3 linked regions of the Macaca fascicularis genome follow. The protein of the gene in region 2 interacts with the protein of the main gene of each other region in a pairwise test. Links are inferred from orthologs where the notes say so. Each region holds a gene or a part of one and is shown on either strand. Other genes may lie near its edges.

Region 1 (3,972 bases), about 43 Mb from region 2:
TGCTTGGGGTCTCTCACGCAGTTGCAGTCAGATGCTAACAGGGGATGCCATCATTGGAAGGCTTGATTAGGCTGAGTGTCCAAGATGTCTCACTTAGATGGCTGGCAAGTGATGCTGGTGATCTGGTGGGAGCTCAGTGGGACTTTTTTCTGTTTTTTTTTAAATGACATGTTGCTCCTGGCCATCAATGAGACTTCTGATTGGCATGCCTACATGTAGCCTCTTTAGCATGGCAGTCTTATGGTAGTCAAACTTCTTACTTTGTTTCTCCCAGAGTGAGAATACCAAGAGAACAGCTGCATGGCCTCTTCTGATCTAGCCTGGTAAATTAGGCAGCATCTCTTCTGCTGCATTCTACTGGTTCCAAATGAGTTACCAAGTCCAAGAACTCGCAGTCATGTTCCAAGATTGCTGTAAATGCTTCCTGTGTACCAGCACTGTTTTATGTAATCATTTAATTCTTATTAAAAACCCCATGAGGGCGGGCACAGTGACTCACACCTATAATCCCAGCACTTTGGGAGGCCGAGGCGGGAGGCTCGCTTGAGGCCAGGAGTTCAACCCCTCACACTCACACTCCTCATTACTGCACATTTGTCACACATAAACATAGCCGCTATGACACTGTACTGACACATACAAAATCTGTCACATTCCGTCTTGCCCATGCAAGCTCAATCACTGTGACTTATTCTCCATGCTCAGCCACTGTCCAATTTTTCATACTGTCACAACCACCAGCCCATCACACACTCAATTACTGTGACACAGCTCTAATCCTCAATCACTGTCACATACTGTTTTTCACACAAATATGGTCACCATCTGTACTCTTAAAGCAGGGTATTTACTCTCCTATGAAATTGAGTTAATATGCCAACAGCCCATTTTTCACACACGCTGTCACATATTGTATTTTTCATCCATACAATCCCTGACATACACAATTAGGGTCACACACTGTTACAGCCTTCGTGCCACTCCCAACTGACACCTACTCCCACACTCTCACGCACTCGCTCACTAGCTAGGGATTGGATCGATGTGTCCGTGGAGGTCTGAAGCCCGGGTCACCTCCCGAACCTCAGCCCCAAGCGGCGCGGCCCCGCCCCTCCCCGCCCCCTCATGCATATGCAGCACCTCAGCCTGGCAGCCCGGCCCCCAGACGGCCATTTGTGGCGGCGCTGGAGGCTGCGTTCGGCAGGCGCTGCGGAGACGCGTAGAGGAGCGCGCCCCCCGGCCGCTGCCGACCCTGGCCGGTGCCGTCACCCCGCTTCTCCGCGCCTCGGGCGGTACCAAGCCAGCCCCCAGCGCCGCGCTACCGCGCTGACCGGCCCTCCCGACACCTCCCGGTACCCGGGACCCCAGCGCGGCCGCTCGCCCGCAGCCAGCCGGCCGCACACGTCCCCAGCCGGGCCTAGGGCGGGCGGCGGCGGCGGCTCGGCGCGGTCAGGCTGGGCTCTGCGGCGTCCCCATGGCCGCGGCCGGCTGGCGGGACGGCTCCGGCCAGGAGAAGTACCGGCTCGTGGTGGTCGGCGGGGGTGGCGTGGGCAAGTCGGCGCTCACCATCCAGTTCATCCAGGTACCTGGAGCGGGCCTGCCCGGGGCGCCGGGGCGGCGGCGGGCGGGAGCTGGCGCTACCTGTGGCGGGGCGGCCGCCGCGACCTCGCCCCGGAGGCGCCTCGCGGGCCCGGGCAGGGGCCGGGGCCGGGGCCGGGGGCGGGAGGGCGCGGGGCCGACTACGCTCCTGCCCTGCGGCCGCAGCGTCGCGCTCTTGCCTCCTCCCGGGCGCGGCGTCGCGGGAGTAGGGCTTCTCAGGAATGTGGTCGGGAGGGCGGAGCTGGCAGGGTGGGAAGCACCGATCCACCTTACCGCTCTGGCCGAGGCCGGAGACCTCCGGGAGAGGCTGGGCCACCGAGCCGGGCTTCCTGCTCCGAGGGTCCGGGCGTGGGGCTGGAAGTGGAGCCCCGCGCGCTGCTTTTCCAGCCGCCTGCGGCCGCGCCTGCACCGTCGGGGCGATCGCAGTGGCAACTTGGCGGCGGCTCCGCGTGGTCTCCGGGCTTCCCAGCGCCGCCTGAGCCGGAGCTACCCGCTTCAAGCACTGTGTATTTCTTTGTGTTGTTATGCTTTTCTTATAAGTACTCTCTTAGGTAATGTGTCCGGGTGGGAGTGTGTGATAATGCCCCGGGGAAATGGTGGCTTCGAGGAAGTTAAAAATGTTCTCTGATGGGGTGAGACCTTTTCCTAGGAATTCCTGATGCCGCCCTGCTTCTCGCCGTGCCTAGGTGAAGTTTGGGATGGGCCGGGCTGGAATATGACCGAGTCGTGCGTTCTGTTTTCTAACCACCCTCTCCCCCACCCCCAGCCCTCCCTGGTTGCTAGAGGCGGAAAGTCAGGGGTTTGTGGTAAAGAAAAGGGAGGTGGAATTCTTCCTTCTTAGAATTTGCTCTTGGGGAGAGGTTTGAGTAGTCTCTTTTGCGATTTTTAAAACACAAAGCCCCGATGTCTTTCTGCTTTTGTCAACCTAGAAGGTGTGGCATATGCTGGGAGAGAACGAAGGTACCCTGCTATAACAGGTAACAAGGATATTCTTCACAGTATCTAGAGTATGAACGGTGAAATATTTTTTTCTGGTTTCCTTTTCACCCATTTGTCAGATACCCGAATAGCTTATTTCACTTAGTGTTTATAGTGACATTAAAATATTGTACGGTAACAAATGTGATTGTCACTTTTCACATTGAGTAAATGAGCAATAATTGCTGCTATAATATTCCCTGGGATTACTACTGCTAAAACCTTTGTATCCAGGAAGAAAGGATGTTTTATGTAATGAGCATTTACAGTATGCTTATTAGTGGGTTAAAAAAAAATCACTGAGTAAGGGGTGAGATTGGTTTAAGTTTAGCAGGCTACAGATTCAGGGGTGTTGTCAGGTTGCTATTTCTCTAGGGCGCAGAGAGATTGTACCTATCTAATGGCAAAGCAAAACAATTTATAGCTAACCCTTTCTTTGGGGACTAGTGTGATGGCCGGGAGTGGGGTGGGGTGGGGGGCGGTGGGGAGGGTGAGTGGAGGAGAAGTCTAGGAGTGGGAGAATAATCTTGGGTTCCAGTATTAGTAGTGTTACTTAAAAGATTTGAATCACAAATATTTAAGTTTTTTTGAGGAAGGGGCCACCTGAATTATTTGAGCCCATGTTAATTAATTAAGGTATTGGGCCCTTTTGTTTTTGGGGAAGTAATGGTATTAAACCATTAAGAAAGCAGTAATTGGACCTGGCGTCGTGGCTCTCTGTGATCCCATCACTTTGGGAGGCATCAAACCAGCCTGGCCAATATAGTGAAACCCCGTCTCTACCAAAAATACAAAAATTTGCCGGGCATGGTGGCGCGCGCCTGTAGTCCCCGCTACTCGGGAGACCAAGGCAGTAGAATCGCTTGAACCCGGGAGGCGGAGATTGTAGTGAGCCGAGATTGTGCCTGGGCAACATAGCGAGACTCTGCCTCAAAAACAAAACAAACAAATTAATTGCTGTTTTCCTAATAATTTATAGAATCATTTGTTGAAGCAATACCTCCACTATGAATAGTATAGTACCTAGATGCTCTAGATGATATTAAAGAAGGAAGCAGGTATGTATGAGGAAGACATTTGTACATCAAAAGTATGAACTTTGAGTCTTACAGACTTGAGCATGTGTGTCTTTTAAAGCTGTCACTTATCGACTGTGAGAACATGGCCAAAATAGCCTCTCTGAGCCTCAGTTTTCTCACCAGTAAAATGGGTGTGATTACACATTCTTTATAACTTTTAAATTACGACAAAGTTTGTAGCATTGTATCTAGCATGTTGTGTGTGCTCAGTAATGGTAGGTGTTATCAGTGTTTATGCCTACAGTTCTCTAACATGTTTAAATGCAAAGGGAATTCAGACTCACAAAAGTCTGGAACAAATTGATGAAAGCACTAT
Region 2 (2,103 bases):
AGGTGTCAGCAGATGGGAGCCCTGTCTGGCAGAGAGTAGATTCCAGGAGAGAGTTAGCAGCCCAGCTCTCTCCTTCCCTTTCTGCCATGAGCTCTGCTTGTGCAAAATCACCCATTTTGATCACTGAAACACTTCTGGGAACCGAGCAGGGCAGCAATAGTGTCCCCACTTTACAGATGAGAGTACTGATGCTTGCAGGTGCAGGTCCTTCGGGTGTCCAGGACAGGGGTGGGCTCTGAGCCTTTGTTGCTGTTCCGTGGCCTTTCTAAATCCTCCTGACACCTAGGAGCCATTGGAACCTTTTAGGGTCTGGAAGTCTCAGCCTGGTGGGGGCTACTGGGGTGGAGCCCTGACTCAGTCACGCCCATGGGGGGAAGGGTAAAAGGAGCCGAGACTGTTACCCTCCCCATGTCAGAGGTTGGGCATCCATCAGATTCGCCCCCACTTGGCACACTCCCCATTGCAGGCTGGCTCACCCTCAGCTGGGTGAGAAGAACAAGAGGCAAGGGGCCTTGGGCACACAGTCTGGGGGTCCCCCGAGCCCCCTCATCTTTATTCCAGTTCCTCAGATGTGGCAGTTCCCTCAGCTTCCCTGGAGACAAGTATCAGACAAAGGTGGTGGCAGACACTGGACAGGGCCCTGGGTGGGGCTGCTGGCGCTAAAAGGACTTCTCAGCAGGCGCAAGGTCTCCCGCCCCAAACGACCCTTCTGGCCACTTCAAGCTACTCCTCTGCTGCCCGGCTTCCCTCTGCCTCTGGCTCCCCTGGCTGAGCAGGGCCTTCACGGGCTCGACCCTGGCCCCCTTCAGCAGTTGTGTCAGACTCTTCCCGAGTGTCCCTGGGGCTGGCTTTGACCCCAGCGTCCTCATCTCCCTGGCACCCTTGCTCCTCCCCTCTGCTCCTTGCCTCTGACTGCCCTCTGCCCTCCTCCTCTGTTGCAGCCTCCTGGGTCTCAGGCCACTCTGCCCGGCGGTAGACAAGGTAGCCAGTGGTGGGCAGCCTGCGGGCCAGGGCTCCAGGGGGCAGGCGGTGGTAGCCCTGGTCCTTGTACAGGAAGAGGCCAAAAGTGTTGGGCTGTGTCACTCGGAACTTGGTGGCACAGAGCTGGTTCAGGGTGGCGATCGAGGCCTCTGGGGGCACGGCCAGGGTCTTGGAGGTGCAGCCACTGCTGGGATCCTGATAGGCTACTCGGAGGAGGTGCTATGCAGGAGGAGAAGCAAAAACAAGTACTCAGCCCTGACTGGCATGCATCTGGCTCCAAAGCTGAGGGACCAGTGTGGGCTGTGCAGGGACAGGGTGGGGAGGTGGAAATCCAGTGGGAGAACCAAGTGGCAAAAGCTCTGTGAGCTCCAGGGGTCGGCTTGTGGGCCACAGTTGAAGGTGCAGGACAGCCCAGTGGGGAGCTCACAAGCCTGAGACGAAGCTTTGATAGTGCACACTTTGTGCCCCAAGTACTCTCCTGCATTAACTCATTTAATCTTTACCTCAACCCCACGAGGTAGGTCCTATTACCCCATTGTACTGATGAGAAAACTGAGGCACAAAGTAGTTAAGTAACTTGCCCAAGTCCCCACAACCCAGTGGCAGAGCTGGGATTAGAACCCGGGATCTGGCTACAGAGTCTGGACTCTTCACCAAGGACAGGAAGGTGAAAGGCGGGGATGGTGTCTGGCTCTGAGGACACGGTGGAGGGCCTGTTACCTGGAAGCAGTGGGTGGCAGGCAGGCGGCGCTGCTCCCAGAGGCTGAGGGAGCGCCGTAGCTCCTGCGAAGGACTCAGTGGGAGGGTATGGGCCTGACCCAGGCCACTCAGCAAGGCCAGGCTGGCAGACAGGCTGGTCAGGTAGTAGCCACCTGGGACACAGGGTGGAATAACACGGCTCAGGCTGGGTGTGGGGCACCCATCCCCTCTCCCCTTCCCTGCTTATTCAGGGCCCACCCAGGCAGGGAAGTGGGTGGGGGTCCCTCACCCTCTCCGGTGAGCAGGCTGGGCTCCAGCAGCTCTGACATGTACTCGGCCTCCAGCAGCAGCTCAGGAAGGTCACAGTGGGCCAAGACGAGGCTCAGCAGAGGCAGGAACTCGTCAGCACCCGCGTCCTCCCCT
Region 3 (4,256 bases), on a different chromosome or scaffold from region 2:
TCGGAGCCGCCCGGCCCGGCCCCGCCTCCGCGGCTCCCCCGGCCCTGGCCAGCCCCCGCCCAGTGCGAGTGGGCGGCGCCGCGCGGGGGAGGGTCCGAGGGGCGTCTCCGCCCCGGGACGCGGACACGCGCAGGGACACGCGCAGGGACACGCGCAGGCACCCGCGTCACGCGAATCGGCCGGGGCGCACGTAGGGGCTGTTCGGCGGCAGTCGGGAGCCCTGCCTCCGACGCCTTGTGACTGCGTGTCCGGCGGCTCGGTTCGGCTCGACGCGGCGGCGGCGGTGGTCACCCTCCGCCCCAGCCGGGGCCCCGGGGCCAGCGGCAGCTGGTCATTGTTCCAGCACAAAGGGCCACGGCACGGCGGCGGCCGCCCCTCCCCCTCCGCTTCTCCAAGCGAAGCTTCCTTGACACGCTCTCAGCCTCAGAGTCCCAAGCGAGAGAGGTCGACGACCGGCCGTCCCCCACTCTCCGGTGCCGGGGCCCCGCGCCCTAGCGCGAGTCGGAGGCCGAGGCTGGGTCCGCACCTGCCCCACCAGGGGCGGGTTGGAGGCGGCAACCTGGGCTTCGCAGAGGCGGCGCCACCTGGCGGCCCGCTCGAAGAACACACCCAGCCGCCCCCCACCACGCGGGCCCTGCCCCACTCCCCGGCACGGTGCCCTTTTCCCCGCGAACCCAGGCCGGCCTCTGGCGCGGCCCCGTGCTCCCCAGCCTCCCCTCGGGACCGCTTGCTAAGACAGAGGTCATTTCTCGGAGAGAAGCGGCCCCTGGCTCCCCAACAATCACTGGGGCAAACCGGTCCAAGCCTACAGCCCAAACCTACAGGAGCCGCACGGCAGACAACATTCCACTTTCTCAAGGTCGCAAATATTCTCACCTTCTCGCACACAATACAGTCTCCCTAACACCCACGCGACCTTTCCCACATGCAGCCTCACCACGCAGCCACAAGCAGTCTCAGCTGTCACGTGGGTCCGCGTTCCTTCTTTCCATAATCTTCCAGTCCAACTCACACACAGACACGGTGTCACAGGCCTGTTGGGCACAGGCTTCCACAACAATCCGCAGTCCTTCGCACCCAGTCACTGTCTCAAATGCACTTAGTCTCCTAACCATCTTTCACGCATTGACAGCCTCTATTCACAGTCACTCACACAGACAACTTCTTACAGCCATGCTTCGCAAATATTCTACCGCACAGCCTTTCCCCTAGGGGTCTCGGTGACCCGGTCAGGTCAGCTGATGCCTGCATCCCTGGGCAAAGACAGCCTTTCTCCCCTAACCACCCCCTCCCCCGCAGGGCCAAGGCCTGCCAGAGCTCGCCCGGGCCCCAGGAAGGAGCATCCCCCCCTTCCAGGCCACAGCCCTGGCCGGCTCTCAGCTCTATTTTTAGCTCCATGGACAGGGTTGTTTTTCTTTTTCCCTGGAAAGGGAAACACAGCCCAGCCACCCTCAGACTCACCCCAGACCCTCAGCCTCACAAGAACAGACTGAGACCCTCTCCCCAACAGAGCCCCCTCCTCTGGCCTTGCCCTGATCCCTGCCTCCTGGGGCACCGAGAACCTCCTCCCCTTTCTGGCAGCCTGCCCAGCTCAGGCGGCAGCTGGGCTCAGCGTGTGTGTAGGGGTAGGGGGTGGGGCGGGAAGAAGGCATCGAGCTACTGCCCACTCCCTCATTCCCTGGGGGCAGGGGCTCGTCCTCCTTTTTCTAGGGGTCTAGGCCCACTCTGGTATTGAGGGGGCGTTTACACTCATGCATTTTCTGCGGGGGAGGAGACTCCTACTCCGGCAAGGAGTGGAGGTGAGGGTAGGAAGGGGACCCGCAGGCGCTCAGGCAGCTGCTCTCTGGGCTGGCGGGAATAGGCGGGGGCAGCTGTCCACTGCCATCAAGGGCCTGTCTCCGAAACCTTCGGGGATGCAGATACCAAGAATGTGCTGGGGGAAGGACGTACAGGAGCCCAGGTTAACCCCAGCCCTGCCCAGCAGCCCGGCCCTCCTGCTCCGCCCCGGCTCCAGGGGGCGCTGTGCTCCGGTTCCTGGGAGAGGGCTTATCCCGGCTCCAGGAGGAGAATGGAACGCCGTCCGGCCTGGAACCAAGCAAACGGGCCTCGTGGTGGGGTTGGGGGCACAGGCCACTGGTGTGCGGAGCTGTCACGTGCCCGGCGCCTGTTTACGTCTTCGTCTTCACCTGTGGGCGGCCAGGAAGCAGGAACCTCTGGGTGCGTCCCACCCGGCCCGCCCCCGTCGGCGGTCACGGGGCTGCCCCTTTCCCGCACCCAATGCGCGACCGCAGAGTGCCCTGCCCGCTGTGGGTCCGCGCGGGCTGATTGGCGCTGTCCCTGGGAGTGCAAGGGTACAAAACTGGGCGCGTCCTTTCCGACTGCATGTGTGTTCGCGTGTCCCAAGTGCGGGCGTGGGTCTGTGCACGCGTGTTTGGGGCCCGTCGGCGTGCGTTTTCGTGTCGCTTCCCTGTTTGGACTCTTCGCGGGCGACCCACCAAGTGCGGACCCCCCTCCTCACTCCACCCCTAGCTTCCCCAGAAGCGGAAAGTTCGTTCAGGAGCGGGGATGTGCGGGAAGCAGGAGTTCCTGCACCTCCGCGGCCCCACCACTCACCCAGCGCCACCTGCGCCTCGGCTCCAGCTCTGGCCCCGCTCCTGCTCCAGCGCGCCCACCTCCTCGCCGCGACAACGCCGCCTCCCTAGCCCGCTCCGAACTCTGGGCTCCGAACTCCGGGCTCCGGGTTCCGGGCTCCCGGCTCCCGGCTCCGGGCTCCCGGCTCCCGGCTCCGGGCGCCCGCCTGGCCTGACCTGGTGGGGCGGGGCGGGGCGGCTCAGGCCGCGCCCCCCACCCAGGGAGGGGAGTGGTCTGTCCCGCACTCCACCAACAGCCTACCCAGTTCCCTGCCCCACAGGGACTCGACGGTGGCCGAGGCTGCCCCTCTGGCCTTCGCCTTCACAGTTTACTGGATTTGGTTTTTGACGTGGGGAAGGGGGCGAGCATCTCGTGACCGATAATTCGACTACCTGGCTGCCTTAAACTAAGCTGCCCTATAGAACTTGACTCTGCCACCCTCCCTGCTCCGTTGGGAGCCCAACCCGGTCCACTCTTGACCCAATCCCCAAATATAGGGAAAACCCCTGGGAATCAGACAAAGGAGGCTCGAGTTTCACCAGAGCAGCTCCCACCTGCCCCCACCATGCACACACCTCAGCGTGGGGCTGCCCAAGCAGAACCAGCACAGCCCCCTCCCTAGAGTAGGTGTCTGCCCAGGTGAGCAGGCCTGCCGGTTCTGACCCCCCACGGGGCATGACTGGGCTTCTCTTAGACTCATAAAATCCTACCCACAGGCACAAACAGGAAGTTGGCCTGTATTGCAGGGAGGCCCCAGGGGCTCCCTCCCGCCATGGCACTCAAGGCAGCATGTGGGAAGGTCTTTAGGTATCTGGGCCGTATGGGCTGCTGGAGACCTCGGTGAGTTGTTGTTTTTTGAGACGGAGTCCCGCTGTGTCGCCCTGGCTGGAATGCAGCGGGCGCGATCTTGGCTCATTGCAACTTCAGCTTCCAAGGTTCAAGTAATTCTCCTGCCTCAGCCTCCAGAGCAGCTGGGACTAGAGGCATGTGCCACCACGCCCGGCTAATTTTTGTATTTTTAGTAGAGACGGGGTTTCACCATATTGGCCAGGCTGGTCTCGAACTCCTGACCTTGTGATCCACCCACCTCGGCCTCCAAAAGTGCTGGGATTACAGGTGTGAGCCACCACACCCGGCCGAGCTGTTTATTATTAAACCCATCCACAGCAGAGAGGAAGCTGCTGGAGGACCAAAGCTGCCCCCTCATAGCCAAGTGTGACATACACTATCAGTTAGAGGACAAGGCTGTAGATCCAACTGGACCTGGCTTAGCCAGGCCTTTCCTGAGTTCTCGGGGAAATGTTTTTGAATTTTTTTTTTTCTTCCCAATCCACTGAACCTGTGAGTCAGGGAGATTCTTAACATCCAGTTGGGTGTAGGCAGACCAGTCCTATCCCAGGGAATCTGCACAGGCCCTAGGGACCCCCCACTGCTTTCTAGAATCCAGGGATCTGAACAGGCTGGGCCCGATCATGATGTGGGTGTTTAAGGCAGGTATGGAGTAGAATGTGTTTGTGCAGGGGGTGGGGCTGGGGAGAGTATTAGCTTCCCCTCCACCTCATCCTTCTGGTTTGTGCTGTGTGGGGATGTCTACTAGAAGGGTGGGGCAAGACAAACAGACAAGT

What was found. The genes of interacting proteins can lie anywhere in the genome.
Region 1: the proteins of RIN1 (region 2) and RRAS2 interact in binary tests that used the Homo sapiens proteins (3 or more experiments, as listed by UniProt). The link is inferred for Macaca fascicularis from reciprocal best matches to the Homo sapiens genes RIN1 and RRAS2.
Region 3: the proteins of RIN1 (region 2) and LZTS2 interact in binary tests that used the Homo sapiens proteins (3 or more experiments, as listed by UniProt). The two-hybrid records come from large-scale screens. The link is inferred for Macaca fascicularis from reciprocal best matches to the Homo sapiens genes RIN1 and LZTS2.

What each region holds. Positions count from the first base shown.
Region 1 is NC_088388.1:51,408,272-51,412,243, forward strand, and holds the start of RRAS2 (ras-related protein R-Ras2), read left to right. Parts: upstream 1-1,163; 5' UTR 1,164-1,474; coding exon 1,475-1,582; intron 1,583-1,850; exon of another isoform or gene 1,851-2,285; intron 2,286-3,972. UniProt on the Homo sapiens protein: GTP-binding protein with GTPase activity, involved in the regulation of MAPK signaling pathway and thereby controlling multiple cellular processes. Regulates craniofacial development.
Region 2 is NC_088388.1:8,069,435-8,071,537, reverse strand, and holds the end of RIN1 (ras and Rab interactor 1), read right to left. Parts: intron 2,102-2,103; coding exon 1,970-2,101; intron 1,854-1,969; coding exon 1,702-1,853; intron 1,201-1,701; coding exon 724-1,200; 3' UTR 513-723; downstream 1-512. UniProt on the Homo sapiens protein: Ras effector protein, which may serve as an inhibitory modulator of neuronal plasticity in aversive memory formation. Can affect Ras signaling at different levels. First, by competing with RAF1 protein for binding to activated Ras.
Region 3 is NC_088383.1:109,955,013-109,959,268, reverse strand, and holds the start of LZTS2 (leucine zipper putative tumor suppressor 2), read right to left. Parts: upstream 2,810-4,256; 5' UTR 2,614-2,809; intron 2,218-2,613; exon of another isoform or gene 2,187-2,217; 5' UTR 1,924-2,186; intron 1,280-1,923; exon of another isoform or gene 877-1,279; intron 18-876; exon of another isoform or gene 1-17. UniProt on the Homo sapiens protein: Negative regulator of katanin-mediated microtubule severing and release from the centrosome. Required for central spindle formation and the completion of cytokinesis.